Arabidopsis thaliana: one gene and its partners. The protein of the gene in region 4 interacts with the protein of the main gene of each other region in a pairwise test. Each region holds a gene or a part of one and is shown on either strand. Other genes may lie near its edges.

Evidence for each region.
Region 1: the proteins of EER5 (region 4) and AT5G61290 interact in a two-hybrid assay, tested with the Arabidopsis thaliana proteins (one study listed by BioGRID).
Region 2: the proteins of EER5 (region 4) and FAC1 interact in a two-hybrid assay, tested with the Arabidopsis thaliana proteins (one study listed by BioGRID).
Region 3: the proteins of EER5 (region 4) and DSS1(V) interact in a two-hybrid assay, tested with the Arabidopsis thaliana proteins (one study listed by BioGRID).

The regions. Positions count from the first base shown.
Region 1 is NC_003076.8:24,646,846-24,651,317, forward strand, and holds AT5G61290 (Flavin-binding monooxygenase family protein), read left to right. Parts: upstream 1-1,682; 5' UTR 1,683-1,753; coding exon 1,754-2,324; intron 2,325-2,425; coding exon 2,426-2,496; intron 2,497-2,582; coding exon 2,583-2,741; intron 2,742-2,824; coding exon 2,825-2,907; intron 2,908-3,111; coding exon 3,112-3,247; intron 3,248-3,341; coding exon 3,342-3,515; intron 3,516-3,610; coding exon 3,611-3,802; 3' UTR 3,803-3,970; downstream 3,971-4,472. Other genes in the region: AT5G61300 (uncharacterized protein), read right to left, coding at 4,060-4,472. UniProt on the Arabidopsis thaliana protein: Catalyzes the conversion of methylthioalkyl glucosinolates of any chain length into methylsulfinylalkyl glucosinolates.
Region 2 is NC_003071.7:16,032,964-16,040,703, forward strand, and holds FAC1 (AMP deaminase, putative / myoadenylate deaminase), read right to left. Parts: upstream 6,010-7,740; 5' UTR 5,831-6,009; coding exon 5,476-5,830; intron 5,369-5,475; coding exon 5,178-5,368; intron 5,094-5,177; coding exon 4,928-5,093; intron 4,595-4,927; coding exon 4,416-4,594; intron 4,339-4,415; coding exon 4,287-4,338; intron 4,169-4,286; coding exon 4,041-4,168; intron 3,961-4,040; coding exon 3,781-3,960; intron 3,698-3,780; coding exon 3,630-3,697; intron 3,436-3,629; coding exon 3,293-3,435; intron 3,192-3,292; coding exon 3,130-3,191; intron 2,662-3,129; coding exon 2,548-2,661; intron 2,414-2,547; coding exon 2,273-2,413; intron 2,177-2,272; coding exon 2,024-2,176; intron 1,944-2,023; coding exon 1,890-1,943; intron 1,809-1,889; coding exon 1,698-1,808; intron 1,625-1,697; coding exon 1,451-1,624; intron 1,228-1,450; coding exon 1,147-1,227; intron 1,055-1,146; coding exon 956-1,054; intron 873-955; coding exon 804-872; 3' UTR 764-803; and 3 more. Other genes in the region: CXIP2 (CAX-interacting protein 2), read right to left, coding at 1-91; AMT2 (ammonium transporter 2), read right to left, coding at 6,709-7,143, 7,311-7,414, 7,553-7,740. UniProt on the Arabidopsis thaliana protein: AMP deaminase plays a critical role in energy metabolism. Essential for the transition from zygote to embryo.
Region 3 is NC_003076.8:18,166,371-18,170,125, forward strand, and holds DSS1(V) (DSS1 homolog on chromosome V), read right to left. Parts: upstream 2,014-3,755; 5' UTR 1,852-2,013; coding exon 1,761-1,851; intron 1,212-1,760; coding exon 1,081-1,211; 3' UTR 636-1,080; downstream 1-635. Other genes in the region: AT5G45000 (Disease resistance protein (TIR-NBS-LRR class) family), read left to right, coding at 1-376, 467-635; AT5G45020 (Glutathione S-transferase family protein), read left to right, coding at 2,836-3,048, 3,129-3,305, 3,385-3,609, 3,676-3,755. UniProt on the Arabidopsis thaliana protein: Subunit of the 26S proteasome which plays a role in ubiquitin-dependent proteolysis. Also associates with the TREX-2 complex that is required for transcription-coupled mRNA export.
Region 4 is NC_003071.7:8,465,186-8,470,924, forward strand, and holds EER5 (proteasome family protein), read right to left. Parts: upstream 3,961-5,739; 5' UTR 3,885-3,960; coding exon 3,717-3,884; intron 3,113-3,716; coding exon 2,976-3,112; intron 2,887-2,975; exon of another isoform or gene 2,866-2,886; coding exon of another isoform or gene 2,858-2,865; coding exon 2,764-2,857; intron 2,658-2,763; coding exon 2,568-2,657; intron 2,469-2,567; coding exon 2,403-2,468; intron 2,316-2,402; coding exon 2,226-2,315; intron 2,137-2,225; coding exon 2,080-2,136; intron 1,980-2,079; coding exon 1,918-1,979; intron 1,836-1,917; coding exon 1,748-1,835; intron 1,635-1,747; coding exon 1,558-1,634; intron 1,223-1,557; coding exon 1,148-1,222; intron 1,076-1,147; coding exon 970-1,075; intron 871-969; coding exon 739-870; 3' UTR 505-738; downstream 1-504. Other genes in the region: AT2G19550 (alpha/beta-Hydrolases superfamily protein), read right to left, coding at 1-346; CDA1 (cytidine deaminase 1), read right to left, coding at 5,413-5,739. UniProt on the Arabidopsis thaliana protein: Involved in the regulation of ethylene response. Probable TREX-2 component required for nuclear RNA export.

The DNA of each region.
Region 1 (4,472 bases), on a different chromosome or scaffold from region 4:
GTTGTTAATATTTACAAGAAAGAGGACTTTTTTGAAAAGGAAACTTTTTTGTCTCCTCTATAATTTTGGTGCAAAGAATAATTATATATGAATGTAAACGTTTAGTAAGACATGCTTTGATGAAAAAAGCTCATTTGGTAGCTTACTGGAAAGAGCTTTTTAACGGGGTCAATTATAAAACCTTAAAATAATATCTAGGCATCCCTCTTGGAGGACAACCAAAAAAAAAAAAAAAAAACTACTCTGTAGAGAACAAAAAGATGAAGTCTAGTTGGTAAAAATTTAAAGTTTTCGTGTTAATATTAGGTTGAAAAAACTATATTCTGTTAAAAAAAAAAAACATACACACAACTAATTAAATTGGACCTACAGTTATTTTTTCAACGTACTACGTATTTACGTTAGGTTAGATTATGATTGATCAAACGGGTTCTATTTATTAAAATTAAACAAATTTAATTGATACATTAATGTGTCACGAGTTCAACTAAGGAATTAAAATACTGTGCATGGAAATATTGAATTTGCATATACTGTACACGATGAGAATTAAATAAATTAAAATATATATATATATATATATACCCCAGCCTCGATTTGAAGTGGACAGGTTATTTTATTTCAAATAGAACGATATAAATCCACTGTATATCTATTATTTTTTAACAGAATTGGACCTACAAAAAAAAATCTGAAATTGTTGTATCGAAGTGAGTTGGTCAGTCAGAGATTATGATTGATCAAACCAGGTCCCATTCATCAAAATAAATGATATTTTTAGTTTTTTTTGTTGTTGGAGGAAATCAAAATTAATGAATATACAATGTACTAGAGGCATTCAACATATTTAATCGGATATATTAATGAATTCAAATATATTGTTTCCATGAAAAGAATTTACTATTTAGATACTAATCGATAATCATACTATTGAACTTCGATATTCACGGAGAGAAATTATAGAATATTAAATTTTGGATAAGGATTAGCTCCGATTTGAATTGTGGCTGAGAATGATATCGGTTCATGCTGGTCAAACAAGTCCCATGGTTTACTTAAAAAGGGAGAAATTAGCAAAATGGGTGAAATAGTCTGTTTTCTTTAAAAATTATAATTTATCAAACGACACATATATAATTACTTTTTATCTTAACCATGCATATAACACATAAAACAAAAACAAAGTTTTCCAAAATGTGATCATAGAGTAATTATGTATATACAAATCAACAATTGTAAGAAAAAATGAATCATCTCATAATATATAATTAACCAATAATGATTAGCAAATGATGTAAAAAATCAAAATTAATTAATTAAATTTCCTAAAAATATAAACTAAACAAGTACAGTATTTAGCTTGAAAAAAGATATTTATGAACAATCAATATATCACATGTTGTCTGTCGACAAAGACAAATGTAAAAAACAATCAATGACCTTTAATTTCATCATTTTGATTGTACTTGACTCGTGTTTTTTGTCTACCACGTCTCGTCGTCTCTTTGATTTATTATTGATTGATTCATTCATTTATAATTTCCACGTTTCAAAAATGTCACTAGCTAGCTAAGTTTATGTAGCTATATTCTTTTAACCTTAGTTCTCAATGCAGTAATAACCAAAAAAAGCAAAAAAACAATTGTTGACCAACAACAACAACCAAAAAAAAAAAACCACTATATAAGCATGCCCCATGACCCATATATGACACCACGAGAAGCAAATCAAAATCAGTTACTCTCCGTCCAAAATGGTGTTAGTGATTACAGAGCCAATTAAGAGTCAATCAAAGACGGTATGTGTGATAGGAGCAGGACCATCAGGGTTAGTGTCGGCGCGAGAGCTAAAGAAAGAAGGACATAAAGTGGTGGTGATGGAGCAAAACCACGACGTAGGAGGTCAGTGGTTATACCAACCAAACGTAGATGAAGAAGATACATTGGGAAAAACCAAAACCCTAAAAGTACATAGCAGTGTTTACTCATCCTTGAGGTTAGCTTCACCCAGAGAGGTAATGGGTTTCTCTGATTTCCCCTTCATCGCGAAGGAAGGAAGAGACTCGAGGAGATTCCCAGGGCATGAGGAGCTTTTGTTGTATCTTAAGGATTTTTGTCAAGTGTTTGGGTTAAGAGAGATGATTAGGTTTAATGTTAGGGTTGAGTTTGTGGGAATGGTGAATGAAGATGATGATGATGATGATGATGTGAAGAAATGGATGGTGAAGAGTGTAAAGAAAAGTGGTGAGGTTATGGAAGAAGTGTTTGATGCTGTTGTTGTTGCCTCTGGCCATTACTCTTATCCTAGATTGCCTACAATTAAAGGTATTGTTTTTGTCTAAATTATATGTAAAGCTATAATTTGGAGTCCGTGTGTAATTATGTTTAAGTTCATAATCAAAATGGTTTTGGTGTTTTAAATACAGGTATGGATTTGTGGAAGAGGAAGCAACTTCATAGCCATATATATAGAGTGCCTGAGCCTTTTTGTGATGAGGTTATTAATTGTAGTAATTAGTGAATAAACTTGATGATTTCATGATGTTTATATGAAGCATGCATGCATGATGATGATGATGGTAGGTAGTGGTGGTCGTTGGATGCTCAATGAGTGGACAAGACATATCAATAGAGCTTGTGGAAGTGGCAAAGGAAGTTCATCTAAGTACCAAATCACTTGATATTCCTCCTGGCTTGTCCAAAGTCATTGAAAAACATCAAAATCTCCATCTTCATCCTCAGGTACGGTCTTACCATCACATCACATATATACATCTTATTCAAATCATTTAAAATCTTTTGTTTTATTTTTCAAATGGTTGTAGATTGAATCTCTGGAAGAAGATGGACGGGTCATTTTCGAAGATGGGTCTTGCATTGTAGCCGACACTATTTTATACTGTACCGGGTAAGTTAATATTTCTTTCCACGACAAGATCACTTTCATCTCCTTATTTCTTGGGGCCGACATATGAATAGTTACAGAAAAAATGTCAGAATTGTGGATTCTATACATGAATATATAAACATTTCTTGACATTTTTAGATTTGAGAAATTTTATGTTTACTAACAAAAAAAAAAAACTAAAAATGTGGGCACAAATACGTGTAGGTATGAGTACAAATTTCCATTTCTTGAGAGCAAAGGAAGAGTAGAGATTGATGATAATAGAGTTGGACCACTCTTCGAACATACTTTCTCTCCTTCTCTATCCCCTTTTCTCTCCTTTGTCGGAATCCCTCGAAAGGTACAATGATTAGTACTTACTTACTAATCATTATGATTTATATAAATCAATCTTTCGTTAGTTAAATCGAGGATTAAAAACCGGTTAATTGCAGTTGATAGGGTTCCCATTCTTTGAATCACAAGCTAAATGGATTGCAAAGCTTTTGTCAGGCAAAACTTCACTTCCTTCCTCTGATCAAATGATGCAATCAATCTCTGATTTCTATCTCGCCAGAGAAGCTGACGGAATCCCTAAACGTAACACTCACGACATCGCCGATTTCAATGTAGTACAAAGTTTCTCCCTTTTTTTGTTTACTCAAAAAGTTTCGATCTTTTTCATCTGATAAAGCTCTGTTTTTTTGTTTTTGGATATTTGCAGTATAGCGATAAATACGCGGATTACATCGGATTTCCACATCTGGAGGAATGGAGAAAGGTCTTGTGTTTATCGGCTATATTGAATTCCATCGAAAATCTAGAGACTTATCGTGACTCTTGGGACGATGATGATCTTCTTCAAGAAACTCTTCAAGACCCTTACTTTACCCAACTTTCAATTCCTTCTGTTTGATAAAAACAAGATTTATCTTTTGTCTAAATGAATAAAAACGCTAAAGGTCTAAACTTTCTGTAGTATATTTGTATGTAAACTTCTTTTTTGAAGTACCATCTAGCTTACAAATTCATCTTCTTTTTGATGAACTTGTAAAAAGCAAAAACCCAAAAGTTTCACTGTTTTAGTATATATCTCCTATGTGGTGTGATTACTGTAACTAGACTTTGATTCTTCAAGAATCTGAAAGCAAAAAAGGTATGTAAGCTTTGGTATTAGCAGGCAGGACTTCTGATGCCTCTTCTTCGTTTTGTTACGGTTCCCCAATCGATTACCATATAGCTTGAGTGAGCATCATTCGTCTCAGTAGCTTCACTTGGCCTTTCTATCTTCTGTAGAACCTTAGAGGCTTTGTTTCCGTTAAAAGTGCTTAGGCTCGGGAGAAACTCGTTGTGTTGTTGACGCTTTCCTCGACTGTGCAGGGTCCTCTTGTGTTTAGGAGTAGCAAAGTTATAGACTGGAGTGTTTGTTCTTTGCTCCTCTGACTTCATCTCTGTTAGCTGCAGTGTCATTGCCTCGGGATAGTCATTGTTACTAGAGTTGAATCCGGGCACTGATAATCCAACTTCACTCTTTGAGTCCTCAACAACCGAAGATGCGATTCTAGCAAACCAATGCAGAGGAGTGA
Region 2 (7,740 bases), 7.6 Mb from region 4:
TGATCACAGGGGTATTTCGAGAAACATGTGGACGAACAACACGCGGAGAGGCTGAGGCGTGCAAGGAGGAAGAAATGGTGATTGCAGCCATTTTTGTCGGAGCTGAGAAAAGTTATCGGTGGAAAATGATGAGCTCTTTTATTTGACATAGGATTTTATCCATTGGGCCTGAATTGGACTGTTATTAAGGCCTTATGATACTTGGGTTTTAAATACCATAATTCGGAAAAGTGGGACCCGCTTTAGTTTCTTTTTTCTTACACATTCCATACTTCAGTCTGTTATGAAACAAAAGGAACATTTGTCTAGTTCACTTCATGATCAAGCCAAATCTACCAATGTGACCCAAAAACATGTGTTTAATCCGGTAAACAGATCTCAGTATGGTTTAAAACAGAACCAAAACAAACAAACAAAATTGGATTTCGAACATAATGCTATTTCTGATTAAAAATTGAATCTGAATCCAAGTTAAAACAGTATGTAATCCAAAAACTGAAATCCATTATATTAAAACCGGTTCTCAACTGGTCTCTTTGTATCTCATTATCTAAAAAGCTTTATAAAACAATAAGATTTTGGCACAGCCTAATCGCTTTCTCAGGGCACAGAGCCACTCATATTATTACCCTATCTACTAGGTTCCTGCTTTCGTATACTTCTCAAAATGCTCTCTTTGTTCCCCTGCAATCTGAAATTCAATCATTGACATCATAAGAAAATGTTGTAACAGAAGTGATAAGATCATTGAGTTGTTACATACATGTTGGATTCTTACGTCTTGCCATTTCTGATTGTGGTTTTTATGGAACAACTTCATCAGAGATAACAGCCTTGCCCAGATAAACCTGTTGCATCTCCTCTTTCCAGATCTGCATCAACTTCATATTTTTAATTTGTTTTCCTACAAAGAGAAATTAACTTGTGTGAAGAATAAATATATTTCATTCCATACCGTGTCACGGAACTCCACCCTTATGTGTGGCACGTTTGTTTTGTGAATGTCGTTTCCATCAGGTCCTCTTTTGTAGTAATCTTTTCCAATCCAGTGCGACTGGAACATCTCAACAAGTTAGTATTATTAGTAGATCGGAACAGAGACATCTTGTTCATTCATACTATGGGCCATGTTGATATAACAAGTACCTTCAGGGCGTGTGAGAAACCTGACTGGTACACTGAGTTACGAGCTATCTCGCACAGGTCACACGCACTCAGCTTCCAAACCTGAAAAATCCAGTTATCATCTTCAGTTAATACATAAATATAACTAAAACCTAGAAGAAAAGGATGTATAGAGAGAAATTTCATTGTTCTTCGTGTTTGCAATTGCAGAAGATCAGTATAAATCATTTAAAGGTAATAACTAATAAGACTTTTAAAAATATAATCAACTTTTCAAGGCCTATGATGTGTGGCAAGACTGCATAATGGAAAGATTATGACTTACTGATGCAGCTATGCTATACTCTTCCACGAGAGGTTCTTTAGTTAAGTGAATCTGAAGGGGGTCATCAGTAGACAGAGAAACATTGAGACCTCTTAAGAAAAACACAGGAAACGGGTTCCGGTGGTAATCTAGAAACAAAGAGTTGTTGCTCAGTGGTGACATGGCCAGACCAATCTGTCAAAAGAAATGTCTTCTTAGAACAGAAACAATAATACATATGTAATACATGCAGGCAGTCTCCACAAACCTGGGCGAGGTAGTACAGATACTGAAGCACAGGAGACTTTCGCAGATTGATTCCATGTGCGATGCTATGGCATGTTAGAAACGTAGCAGCCAAGTGGTCAATGTCACCAGCCTGAAATTTGTAGACATGTTAAAATTCCACTGAACTGTAACTGAAAACTGTTTATCTAGCACAAAGGAAGAAATAACACACCTCTCCAGAATGTGGTCGTAGCGTGATAGTAGTCATGCCCTTTGACTCTCGAAGCTGAAGAAAAATAGTTACTCCATATTACACAGTTTTGAGAACACCAAGTTAGTTACAGAAGCGACTAAGAGGAATGGTACCTTATTTAACACATAGAGGTTAGCATAACAATAGTAGACATAATACGAAAATGCAGGATTGAATGCGTTAGTCCATTGAGCTGGAGTGGGCATGTGTTTTGTGGGACGTCTTTCAGGTTTGCTTTCATCATCAACCAAATCAAATCCAACAACCTGAAATAGCAAACAAGAGACAGCAACCAGTCAAACCAACTCTTTATTGTGTAAAGACATGCGGATTAGAGGTTATTTGAAGATATGAATGCTAACCTGCTTCAAAAAAACATGGAGCTGAGGATGGGAATCAGGATCTACCGTGGCTTCAAACAGAGGAATGAATATATTGTCCAGGATATTCTGGAACGATGTCACAATACCCATGTCCTTGTAAATGTTGTACAAGCGTGGGAGCTAGTGAGCAGACAAACAGAAAACAAGGAAAATATAGCTCAGTTAGCAGTCATGTTACAAACACACGGAGACAAAAAAAACACATACACTCATGGAAGGACATGGAGCACACAAGTATCAAAGAGATGGCTAACCTGAATTAACCAGACAACATTCTCACTGTATAGATCATTGTTCACAATCCAACTAGCGAGTTGGTCCCACTCGCTCATTTTTCTGCCATATATAGATATTCTGTATTCAGCCATCTGCAGTGTTCAACGTAGACATCAGGAAAAACAAAACAGAGCAATTATGGATCTGCTTTGGCAAGAAGATTTCTTGACACAGAATTTGAGCAATGCCATGATGTTTTTTGGAACTCAAGTCAATGCGCATATGTGAGGGAGTGTGAGTTTGATATGGTTACTGAGACTAAAATCCAAGGATTTTACTACTATATCTTTTCCTAATATAACAAATGAGTTAAAGTTTAATGCAGCTATAAAGCATATGCAACAAGAAATAGCAAGCTTTGCATTTGTAAGGGGGAATAGGAGGAGATCCATTACCAAATCCTAAGTCTCTATGTATTCCCAGTAAATCATTATATCAAAAGCTTAGTTAGAATGGATTTGATTCTAACAGTGTTCCTCTCTTATAATGTTCGTTCTAAATGCATAAGACCACTGCAGTTGATCAAGAATAAAAATAACAAAGATGCATGTGGCGTTTACCTGATATTTACTAGCTTCAAGGTCAGAGAAGACTTGCTTTGTTATCTCACCAAGAAATCGACCTTAAACCAAACGAAAATAAATGTCAGGCAACTGAGAGTGCATAACTGATGCATCAAATGAACTAAAAACGGTAATAAGAGTGACTGGAGTATTCAATTACCTTGGATGAGATTATCCTGTTTAAGGAAAATCTCCCTAAGCCTACTTTGACCACAAGGGTTATACTTTAGGTTGAACTTATCAAAACGATGAAAGGTACTTTTGTCTGCATGAACATCCAAAAGGTCGACGTTCAGGTCATATCTGTGCAATGTTCAAACAAAGGGAAAAAGGTTAATTTCTTCGGTGTCATGGTAAAAATGGTAAAAAATGCAATACAGGCAATCTGCGGTGCGCAACAACTAGGAGGCTCCTAAGAGGGTAATCTAATAGTCTTGCAGCCATCAGATTCAGATAGAGTTAAGTTGGGAATTCTAAGAAGTTGGAAATGTAATTACCCAGTCAGATCCAGGCTCTCAAAAACTTCTCTCAAGGTCAAATATGTTCCATCTCGGAATATTACAACCTGTATAAAGGAGCAAGAAATTATCATATCTGCATATCAGCAAATTGTATACTATCCTAAAACATATAGTTTGCCATTGTTACCTCATCGGGTTCTTTCCGGAGCTTTGACTTAATAAACCTTAAAAGGTGTTTCTGGTTCATGCAAGCTGAATGATGCACATGAGTGTCGACTTTCCTAACGTTATAAAAATCACGATGTGGTGCACTTTTTTGAGCAAGAAATTCTTTATCCGCATTAAGCATCAAATGGAGATTAAATTTCTGAAACAAAAAATAGACATACTGTTAACAAGACGAAACTTGCTTATTGACATTCATTCTTCTCTAAATAAAACTCTTGCCTGTTCTAGGAGCACTAGTCGACGGTGGCACAAAGTCCGGATGTTTCCTGCAGCTATGACTTTGAGTACGTGATGCAAGTCAGTGAAAAACGCTGTGGCATCAGCTACCGGGAAGAGATCTTCTTTTGCTGGGAATTATGAAACAGAAGAAGGGTCAGTTATTCGAAAAGCAAAAGAATGCAACCAAATCAACTATTATGAGTAAAGGAAAAAGAAGCATTAGAATTTTAATACTAGGACTCTTACCATCTTTATTTGCAAACACGTGGACAACCCCATCTTGCATCTCAAAACAATGCTGTAAAAACAAAGATTGGGAAGTTTAATTCATCAATGCATGGTGTTTGATGACATATATAAGGAGTATAGACTCACATCAGATTTTCCCTGAGGATAGTGTGCAAATGGCTCTGTATTAGGCTTTGGAGTACTAGGATCAGATATGACTTCTTTTTCCCATGGTGCAACTGTTTCTTGGAAGACATACCTCTTCCGCAGTTCAAGACATTCTTGCAGACATTTATAGGCTTCAACTTCATCGGACGTTGGCACCTCTAAACAGATCATGAGTAAAATATGAATAAGATATGTGTTGACGTCTTAACCGTTTCAAGCTATAATTCTTAAACTATAATCTAAGAATTTCAATGGCTCAGCTCCCACACTGAGTAAAGCCTTAACTGACCCTTGCTTCTCTTACTCAAGACTACTTATTTAATTGTCCGTAACTCCACTTAATTACTTGCCACTAGCAAAAAACTTTTCAAGTAGTGGGACTTATAAAACAAACATGTCATGATTTGTAACAATAGGAAAAGAGTACTAAGCATACAGGAACCAGAAGTAAGGCAAGATGACAGAACGAAACAAAAAGTGACCATTCTTACCAAGAGGAACATTAAGACGGACAAAGGTCTCTTGCTCTGGCTCCTTACGAAGAATGTCAGCAGCAATAGGATCAGGCTGAACTCCATGTAAGTCACCAGACACACTATGGGATCGAATCATACTTGAAGCAGCCATAGATATTTGTTCTTCATTAGCATCTGCAGGCTGCAAAAAACATCTTACTTGTAAACCCACCTATTCAATCACAGAACAGGGATTGAAAAAGTAATGATAAATAAAGAAACTCACCATCTCATTGTCACCATTAGCTTGCAAGTAGGAAGCATCTAAACCCTCACTATTAGTCAAATTATCATCATCATCTGATTCTTCCACACTCTCAAAAGCACTAGCACTAGCAACAGGGGATTTCGGAGATATTGGTCTAACAAAGCTTCCAGTTTTCCTGATACTACTAGCTCCATGTACAGAAGCTCTCCCTGAAAAAAAGCAATCACAAACTATCTATCAGCATCATCAAAGGATTAAAGGATCAATTTTTATAATCCACAATCTAATCTGATCAATTCAGGTTTGGTTCTCATACCTTCAGATGGCGTATGAAGCCTAGGGAGACCAGGAGGAATTTCATCGACATAAACGTGACCGTTGCTCCGTCCTGTATCACCGCCGCCGCCGCCGCCACCATCGGTAAAAGGAGTGGCATCTGGAAGAGAAGCAGGACTGCGACCATATTGGTCATTAACCTTCCTTCTAACTTGGCTCCGCCGCCTCACCAAGGTCGGATTTTGAGGCTCGTCTCCATCAGGGTTCTCTTTACGCTCCTTACCACGCTCAAGGACTAGATTCAGTGCCTTGAAATGCATGAAAAACCCAGAAACAGCAACGAAGGAAGCTCCGAATAGAGCCGCGAGGGCAAGTTGGTAAATATTGGGTTCCATGAGTGACACAATCAAAATCTCTGTGTGTGTGCTCAGGTCAGAACTCAGAAGAGAGAGTAAGACCACGATTTCGTTTTAGTGGCGATGGTGGGAGGTCGAGGTTGAGTTGTTATTTATAGGCCCAACGAGTGAAACCACGCCACTTGCAAAAAGGCTGGGTCTTTGATAAAAGTTGAAACCTTTATGGCTAAAAACTAAAAGTGCTGATAATTATAGGGGCAGAGTTTTATAGACAAATAATTTCTTCATTAGTGTTCAATTATTTCAGACACCAATTTTTGTTTTTATCTGTCCAATTTTTTTATTTTATTTTATGTTTGCTTTTATACGTGAAAGTGAAAACTCTTCATATTTTTTAGTTTGTTCAAATAAAAAATCATTTTCATAAATATTGTACAAAATATAAAACGGAAGAAAGTTCTTCATTAAACATTAACACATCAAAATCCCTAAGAAATAAGGGAATTAAGGTTAACACTATCATTTTAAGAAAACTAGGTGTTGGGCCTTTGGCACTAAATATCAAGAGAACTATGGGTCTAATGTTAGCTCGAGTCCAGATTACATGGTCTCAGTCTCATGCTTTTCTTTTTTATTTGTGGCCCAAGGAAAAAGTGATTAAGGAAATTACTTATTAGCCAAATGACTTGAGGAAATTACTTTAACTGAATTTAAAATGGTTACAAGGTACATTTGTTCACGAACTCTATGTTTTCATTTCAACAAAATCACAAATGGTTGTTAACTCCAAATACACACCAAAAAATATGAAAAGTGAAGTTTTACCACCTATACAGAACACAAATAACTCATTCACATCTCTAATGTCATAAGGAAATCAATACACAAAAAATAAATAAGAAAAAGAAGAAGAAAAATCATAGAACAATGGTGACACCTCTAGCACCATGAACATAAGAAGGATGAGCAGCTTCTTGATCTCTCTCAAACTGTTGCACATGCCTTGTAGCATCAAACTTCTCTCCATCTCCCCAAAGAGCATAAGCTTCTTCCCCATGTGCTGCGTCGTCTCCAATCCCGAGCTCTTCCTCAGCCATTCTCAATGGTATGAACACCCTAATAGCGAGTAGAATGATAGTAGTCGACACCACATTCCAGACGGCAATGAAGGCAGCTCCAGCCAACTGTTTCAAAAGCTGTTTGCCGCCATTGCCACCGTAGAAAGCTCCTCTGGTCGCTGGGAGAGGAAGTACCAAAACGCAGAGATCAGGGTGTGCAAACAACCCTGTCATTATTCCACCAAGTAAACCAGCCACGGCGTGTGTGTAAAACACCGCTAATGTATCATCCACCTGTTTATTTCAACCCAATCAAAATATTACAGTTCAAATCATTCGTTTGTTATTACTAATACCTTAATTCTACAATTGAAACATTTTCGTTTTTCTAATAAGGTAAAACATTTTTTTTTTTTTTTTGTTGGTTATGAAATTAAAATGGGATTTATGATCTAAATTACCTTTTGAAGGAGAGCGGATTTCTTGTGAATGATCATCATAGAGGCCCATGGAGCTGTTCCTGAGACTACTCCAATTATTATAGCTGCCCATGTTTGGATCAAACCTGCAATAGATATCTTATTTGTCAGTATAATAAATTAACAATGCAATATTAATAAGTTTCCACATAATTCAACCTTAATCATAAATAAACTTAGAGACTTAGAGTAAACAAAAAACTTGAAAAGAAGATGACTGAAACCTGCTCCGGGAGTGACGCCGGCTAAGCCAGTAACCATGCCTTGAATTGCTCCGATGACAGAAGGTTTGCCAAAGAAGATGACATCAAGTGTAGTCCATACAAGGAGGCTTGTGGCGGCCGAGAGGTTGGTGTTTAACACGGCGATAGAGGAGGTTAAGTTGGCCGCGTAAGGAGCACCACCGTTAAAA
Region 3 (3,755 bases), on a different chromosome or scaffold from region 4:
GAGACTCAGGGATCAATGTCTTCAAAGACAGCTTCAAGCTTATAGGAAGTGGACAAAAACAAGAAGTGTTCATGAGTATAGAGAACTCGAATATCGCGCTTGCCATCTTCTCAAAGAGGTATTCTGAGTCATATCGGTGTTTGAACGAGCTTGTGAAGATGGAAGAGCTTGCCAAGGAAGGAAAACTCGTGGTCATTCCAGTCTTCTACAGTGTGAAAACAAACGAAGTGAGAAGACTTGAGGGAGAGTTTGGAATACATTTTAGAAACACAAAAGAGAGATTTGCTATGGAACCAATGATGGTTGAAAGTTGGGAAAAATCCTTGAAGTCATCTACTGTTACAGGGAGGATTGGCTTGAGCTTGGAAGCACACATGTAATAGAATATTTAATAGAACTCTTGTTTTGTAGTAAGATCGACTTTGTGGTAAGGTCGTCTAATCAGTTTCTTTCACTCATTTTGCAGGAACGAATTTGCTCTTGTCGGTGCCATTGTTAAAGAGGTTACAAGATTACTACCAAACTCTCCAAAGAAGAAGAAGAAGAAGAAAATTAGGTATTGGAGAAGTTTTCTTGAGGGCTTTGACTGCTACATTTATCTTTGCTGTCTTCATATACCCTATGCCTATGCCTGATGTGAACTTTTTGAAAATTGGTAAGTTGTTATTAGGCTTTCCGTTTTTGGTTGTTGTCTTGCACAAGATTTTATGTTAATATTAGAAACAAAATGATGTTTTCTCGCTTCTGGCTTGTGGACGCTAACACTATATGTAATGTTGTGACGCACATCAGCTATGTCTATTTGAATGTTATCTCTACGGTTATTTTGTGATGTACATAGTAAACCAATCCATGTCCACACCGCACTGTGTTGAGAGAAGATGGTGATTATCAGAATAGAATTACTATCAGCTCAAATTTATCATCTTCAAAGACGAGAAATTTGCATCCAAGGAAGAGTATAATGTGTAAAGGAAAAGGAGAACCGATACATGCTACGATAAACCAAAGGATGCAATTCAAACAAAAAAGCCAAGGTTCCCTAAATGAGAAGACCTGCCTTTCTCGCAATCTTGGACCTCATTTCTTCTCACTAGCATTCTCAAGCTCCTTCTTTAACTGACGCGAGAAGTCGTCACTGACATCATCATCATCCCAGTCATCTTCCCACTGCAGGCTAACTTCCTTCACTTCCTCTTTCTCCAACCAATCTGCCAAACATAACAATAAAAATATCCATCTTTATCAATTCTTTCAATAAAGCTATTTGTTAAATCTCAAGACTGAACTAACATTGCAAAGCAAAATCTGTTAAAATCAGAAACTGATCCTAGCTTAAGTTGAATTGTACAACTCTCCCCCAAGCTACTCAATGCCCCCAAATAATTCCTAAATCCACCATAACCTTTAGGCCCTTTAGCTCATGAAGCCTTGCCGATTAATAATGCAAACATAATCACCAGTAGTTTGCTCATAAAACTGCACTATTATCCATCAAGTTTATGAGACCGTAGCTTCATCATCATAAACATATATCAAACAGATCCGTTTTCGCATCAGAACTACCCAACTTCATACAATAGAGACTATCTTAGTTTGTATAAGACAGTGCAGAATCAAAATTTGTATTTATACCAAAACCTAATCAATCACCAAATCAGTTGCTAATGAAATTTGCTCTTATCTCCATTAATTTTATAACCGATGATGAATCAATTTCGAAAATCAAAGAAGCAATTAGTATAAAACAAAAAAATCACCTTCGTTGATTTCAAATTCCTCGAACTCATCGTCGTCCTCGAATAGATCCACCTTCACCACTTCGACAGCTGCCTTGGGTTCTGCCGCCATAGTTACAGATGTTTAAGCAAATCAACCAGATCGAGAAAAAAACCTAAGAAGAAGATCACCAAACTCGATTAATTCCTCCAAGTTAAACCCAACCAGAGCTCTTTAAACGAACCTTTTTTTCGTTTTGGGTCTAACTTGAAGAAGGGGAAAATTACCAATTTCCAATAACCGACCCGAATCTTATATGATTCATACCGAATCCGACCCGAATCTTATATGATTCATACCGAATCCGACCCAATATTAAAAATATCCGATTGAGGTTTAAAAGAAGCTGTTTTAGACCGGTCCAATAGTCGCATTCGTCTTGACCAAATCCATGACATACAAACCGGTCCAAAAGTTGTCACGCTTTCCCCACAGAACCCAGCTGAGTCAACTCGTTAGTCTGAGTTAACTCGCTAGGCGTGACAGAGCAGTGAAGACAAAGCAAAGTCCTTTTTCGGATTCCTTCTCTTTCACTATAAGATGACATCCCTCATTACCATTTTTCCTTAAAGCTCACTTTTTCTTCTTTAACCTTATCGCCACAAAACAGCGACATTCGACGCCAAATACATAACATCGTCGTCAACAGGTTTTGTCTCTTATCTTCTTCTCTGCATGAATCATGTTCTTGTTAGACATTTTCTGAGTTCTGGGTTTGATTTTGGCCCAATGATCCATAAATGTTGAAAATCATATTTGAAGGCTATGAATTATGAACATTTTATTTTAACCTTTTTCTAGCTCTAATGAGATAATTAAGTAAAACCCTACTCGAAATTTCTGAACTTTTTGATGCTTTGATTCGTTTCCTGTGATCCTTTACCTAGAGAAAATTGAGATTGATTATGTGACAAGTGACCATCTATAAGAAATCTCTCAAAGTTTTCAACTTTACTCACTCTATTGAGGTGAAAAAGAAAAATTGTGCATTCTGAAATTTTTATTCTTTTCGTTTGTCATGTGAATTTTCGTGTTTGATTTTTTATTAGTAGCAAAATGGCTAGGTCTGGGGTTGATGAGACATCAGAATCTGGAGCTTTTGTAAGAACAGCATCAACATTCCGCAACTTTGTTTCACAAGATCCTGATTCTCAGTTTCCAGCTGAATCAGGAAGATACCATCTTTACATATCTTATGCTTGTCCATGGGCTTGTAGATGTCTTTCTTACTTAAAGATCAAAGGACTTGATGAAGCAATCACCTTCTCGGTTAGTACAAATTCATTGCTCATATCGAATTAGAAGACTTTGTTAACCTGAAGCATTTCTGTTTTATTTGATTTGATTAGTCGGTTCATGCCATTTGGGGAAGAACCAAGGAAACTGATGATCATAGAGGATGGGTTTTCCCGGATTCGGATACCGAGCTCCCTGGAGCTGAGCCTGACTATCTTAATGGTGCCAAAAGTGTGAGAGAACTCTACGAGATTGCTAGCCCAAACTATGAAGGGAAGTACACTGTTCCTGTAAGTTTTGATCTCTTTGGTGAACTCTTTAATCTTTCTTTGTCCTGTTTCTTGAATGTTTGTTTTGTTATTATGTTAGGTTCTTTGGGATAAGAAGCTTAAGACTGTTGTTAACAATGAGAGTTCAGAGATAATCCGGATGTTCAACACTGAGTTCAATGGTATTGCGAAAACCCCGTCACTTGACCTTTATCCTTCTCATCTCAGAGACGTAATCAACGAGACTAACGGATGGGTTTTCAACGGAATAAACAACGGTGTTTATAAATGTGGGTTTGCAAGGAAACAAGAACCCTATAATGAGGTATATATCCCTCAATGTCTTAAACATTTGAACAGGGATTCAAAAATTGATCCCTTTTCTCTCCAGGCAGTGAACCAGTTATATGAAGCAGTAGATAGATGTGAGGAAGTACTCGGAAAACAACGATACATCTGCGGAAACACTTT
Region 4 (5,739 bases):
CGACATCACCACCTTTACTATGACCAAGAATGACAGGAACTAGACGGTTCATGATGTTAGAGGAGGACAAGTGTTGAATAACGTAATGCAGATCATCCTCTGCTTCACTGTTGAAGTTACCATAATAGAAAGTTCCTTCACTATCTCCGTTACCAGAGAAATCGAAACGAAAAGAGCTGATTTTTTCTTTCTCCAAAGCTGTAGCCACGTTTTTGAGAATCTTGTTGGTCTTGTCCGATCTAAAGCCATGGCATAAGACCACAACTTCTTTTGATCCAGTTTCGTGAAGCAGACCCACGAGCTTCTCGTTGCGGCGGTTCGGAATCACGATCTTCGTTGGCTTCATCGTCTTTTTGCTTCAGGTGGTAATCGTAGAGAAGAAAACAATGAGGCCCCCTATTGATGTAAAAAGAATAAGGTAATGGAAGTATGGAACTGGAACTCTCGCCAAAGATCAAATTGCATTTTTCTGTGGAGATACGAATGAGACTCGTAATCACTTTTTCTTTTTTTTGCTAAACTAAAACTCGTAATCACTTATTCTTCTCATGTCGATATTCAGTGGAAATTTGGACCTTACTCGTAAGTAGACTCCTCAACCATGGTGAAAACTCCACAGTTTTAAAGTCACATTTCTATTGTAAAAACAGTTTTTGTTTTTTGTTTGAATGAATTTTACACACAATTAGAAAATAAAAAGTGTTTGTTGATACAACAAAAAAAATAACACGTGAAGACTTATGAGCTAACAGGCTTCCCGTTTAGTTTAGGGAAAGGATCTTGCTTGCTTAGAACTACCACTTTGCTCTTGTGAGCTAAATAACCTTTCACAAGGTTTTTGTATATCAATATCGTCATTATACATTCCACCTGCAAATACAGTATTATTTTGACAACTGTGAGTTTATAGAAGATTTCAATTTTAGAAGAAGTCAAAAGCAATGAATGGGATGGTATTGTAGAACAAACCTCGTCCAGATCCATGTCCATATCTAGCCATCTTAGTGCTTTGGCAATCCCTTCAAGCTTCAGCTGGTGAGCTCTCGCTGGATCACTCAGCTTCTGGTTTATATAACTGAAACATTGATAATAATAAGAGTTATAAACTCAAGAATCTTGGATGGTATCATAGCTTGTCTTTGCTTACATTTTCTTCATGAGTCTCTGGTAGACTTGGAGCTCTAGCTTTTCCAAGACAAGATACACACCCGACCTCAAGAACCTGTATAAAAGAAGAGTATTAGATCGAGATATTAAGTTGTTCGGTGATAGAATCAAAATACTCATCATATAGAGACTTGCACAACTCTACTCTCGACCCAACTGCAAATCCTAACCCCTAGACAAATCCAGAACATCCCAACTCTTTCTGCCCCAATTTTCTTTTAACCTGTTAGCTCTCTACCTAAGAACCAGGTGTTACTGACCTGTCAGCAGAGCTATATAATCCACTACAAGCAGCCTATACTAATTCCAATACTCATGCTCTAGAGTATCCACAAGGACTCTATCATTTGGATTAGATGAGAAAAGCAAGATATCGAAAGAAATACATACCGATCTTCATGTTCTTGAAGAGCATGCCGGAGAAGCCTTAGATCACCCTTTCTCAGAGCTTGCACAATCTTTGTGTACTGGACACGTAGAGAAATAGGATTAAGAGAGATATGATATCACTCAGCAGATGCGAAATAAGTTTTGACATAGATTCGAAGAAAATTTTATAGAACAACAGAAAAGTCGTTACCTCATGCAGATTATAATTTCGCAGGAGCTCATCTTTTGGTATAATTCCTAAAGAAAGCTTCACCGGTACCAAATACTTTAATATCATCCTGATTCACATAAGGCCACATTAGCTGATTAAGCAACGCAATGCAAGAGTAAGGTAATCACAGAGTAAAACCAGAATCAGACCTTATATTTCGTTCTCTTTTGGGGTTGCAATTTTGCAAGGCATATGATAGCTTTGTATCAGCCTGCAAGATCCAAAAAAAGAGATTAAATGTTACTATCAATATTTGGATTGACACTACGAAATGAACTGTGATGGTAAGAAAAAATCTCTTAGTGACTCACAGCAGGAAAATTTTCGTTGAAGACTTCTAATCGGCCGGTATAATACATGTATGTAACCTGGTGTTTGCGAAGAATAAACAGAAGATAATAAGTAACCGAATAAGGAGGCCAAAAACTAAAACTGTTTGCAGAGAACTGCGCCAGACCTTATCTCTTCTTGGAAACTCCTCAAAGTCAAATATCCGAGCAGTTTCGATACTTCTTATTACACTTCGACAAAGATTGACGGTTCCAAGCTAAAATACAAAATTGGGGATACCTGTTTAGTACTCCATTTAATGGTTAAATCATAAATATCAAACTGTTGCCAGAAAGCATATCACCTTAAAGTAGGTCTTGAACAATTGGCAAGTCACATATAATGCTCCGACTCGTTTTGGACCTTTCCCCTATAGTTTAAAACTACATAAGGAGCCGGAAAAAATATTGAACACAAATATAAACTAATATTCCTGAAGATATATAGATAGATCAAAGGGAAAACTTACAGCAAGAACTCCAAAAACTTTCATGAGAAGAGACCCAGCTGCTTTTAATTTCTCTGGAGACTTTCCATTAGAAGTTAAATCTTTATCAGCCTGCAATTCCATGTGGAAAAATCATGCTTTCAGAACTGACTCCTCGACACAATGAAACCAGACAAGGTTAAGATTTTGAAAAAGGGATATACAAATGAGATACTACCTTTTCCGCAAGAACTCGAATTTCATAACAAACTACATACAGAGCTTCCAATGCCCAAGCAGATTCCCAATTACGAAACTCCTGAACAAATGCACTGCACATATAGAATCCATCAGATATCAGACATTGTGAACAGACAAAAAAAAAAGCTTATCACCCTGAAATCATATTAGACATCAATAGAGGAGCAGAGAGGAACAAGAAGACTTTACTTGGCAAACTTATCGAAAGCAAGGTATGCTTCGACTAGATTCCCAACTCGGTAACTTTGTAGAGAACGAAACACATGAGCCAGAATCTCGCCATATTCAGAGAATCTATCAGACTGTCTAATCAAACTGCTAGAATCCTGTATCAGTCAAAGAAAAGAAAACTCAAAGGATTCAGCACTTTCACAGCTCTCTACATATAAATAAAAACCCTAAATCTAAAATCCATACTCATAAACTCAAACATAGACATAGAGTGTTCACTACAACAACTCAATAGGAGACACTTTCACGGCCTAAATTCATACTCATTGGTGAAGCAGGAGGACCCAATTGGAAAATCATACTCATTAGTGAAGTAGGAGGATCCTAGATTGACATTGATTGAACCTAAAAGATACACACTTTGCTAACATAAAGATAATGTTCCTAGTGTTTTGAGCCCTAAATTCAGAAATTCATACTCATTGGTGAAGTAGGAGGACCCAATTAGAAAATCATACTCTTAAGGATCTTACATTGAATCGATTTAACCTAAAAGTTACAAACTTTGCTAACATAAAAACCATGCTCCTAGTGTTCACAATTCATACGAGAACCCAATCGGAACATATCAGAAGCATCCTGGATTTGAAATCGAACCTAACTTTACCAATTTACAAGGATCATGCCACTAATCACAGGAACATACTCCAAGCTGCTAATTTGAATCATGGGTCTCGATTTAACAGAGAATATATGTACCTGGAAGACGTTGAGTGCGTCGGCGAGTGAGAGAAGAGGTGGAGAATTGGAAGAGAAAGAGAGGAGACGGCAAAGTGTAGAAGAGTCTTGGTACGAAACGGCGTCGCAGAATCGGTTTAGGTATTCAGTGATTCTCCGGTGAGCTTCACCCATACTAACGTACGCCATTGTCACCTTCTTCGTCTGCGTCTTCCTTATTCTTTGAGAGAGACACGAAATCAAATAAGTCGCCAGGAAAAAAAAGGAAATAACGGAGTTGAGAAAAACGACGGCGTTTGGTAATTAACTAAATTGTTACTACGTACTAGTCTTTTCTGGTATTAGACTTATTGACATATGTTAGTTGGGCCATTTAAGGCCCATATGAAATACAATCATTAAAATGTTTGAAAATTTATTTGTAAAGGATTTGAAAATATCATTAGTGTTGGAAGGATTTTAAAGTTCCTGTAATCGGTGGTACTGATCATGAATTTTTTTTAGAGTTTTTAAGTTCATATAATCGTTTTATAGATCATGATTAATTTGCTTTAAGGTTTTTTAAGTTCATGTAATCGTCCGTAATGTTGACATCTGTATGTAAATATGTCTTCTTAGCCCGATGGTGACGTGAGGAACTTTCTTGAAGGGACATGAAATCAATTTATACCATGCATATAACTCAACAAGTTGCCAAAAACTCGAAGAAATGAATATAATCAACTTGTCAAAAGTAATTAACTGATCAAATAAATCACTTGTTTCCAAATGTGATTTATACTTTCACACTTCTATATATTCCCATTGATATTCCCCTTCTTTCATAGTTAGCAAAGGCCTCTACTACATGTACATGATAAATAAATAAATAAAAATCACGCTAATCATATAATTATCAATATATTTTATTCTTGAACACACAATTAATAGAAATTTTGAGTTGAGAGAAGTCAATCCAGGATTAGTATTTATGTGTAATGCTAAAAGTTGAAGATAACGAGAAACTTGAGAGGTTTTTAAGGTTCCTACTTTATTTTTGGTATGAAGGTTCCTACTAAAATATGCTCTTATATATCATTTTATTTAAAAAGCATTCCATTTGAAACTAATCTAAAAATCTTTAGATTCATTGTTCACCACTCATAGTAAGAGTTGCATGTGGACCATCTTATATTCTCTACTTTCTCATACTTCGTATTTGGAACCTTTATTCCAACAAATTCAATGTGTAAAGCCATCATTACGTTCATTTATTTTTGCCTTTTTGCGTACATAAAAGAAACATCATAACTTGACATGTAAAAAAAAAAATCATTGATTCGATTTGAGACTTTTGAAAACCTTGTCAATTTTATAAAATTTGGCCGATTTGATCTAATCCACATAATCCATCCCTTATAGACGAAATTAAATTTTCAAAGGGGATATTAAAAAAAAATATCAAAAAATGGAAAAATTTAATATCAACAATTTTTTTTTTAACAATACTCCATAAACATAATAATTGTATTAAATTTAATTTTTTAATACAATAAACATTTTTAACAAATTTAAAAATATAAACTTTTCTTATTCTCTATGTGTTATCCATCACATCAATTTCAACACTTTTTTTTTTTCCGTCAATTTCAACACTTTTAAGAATTAAAAAGTCTCATTTTCTTTTTATTCCTTTTTTTTTAAAATTCCTTTATTTTTCGGATAATTAAATGATTCTCTAAGCTTCATAGCAATGAAACACTTTGAATTCGCATTTCGGCGATATAGTCTCTAATAACAACCTCGCCGTGTGCTCTTGCCTCACCACCGCATCTTCTTTCTCCACCAGAACCGCTCCGACGATCCTCTCGTATCCTCCTCCACCACCATTAGCCACATAATCAACCAACGCCGCCTGTACTGGTCCCATACTAGGATTATACGCCGCCGATTCCATATACCAACCTCTGTACACTTTCCCGTCACAATCCACCAGCGAAACTCCCGATGGACATAAACTATACGGCGCGTACGATCTATTCGCCGCCGCTAAAGCCGTTTGTTT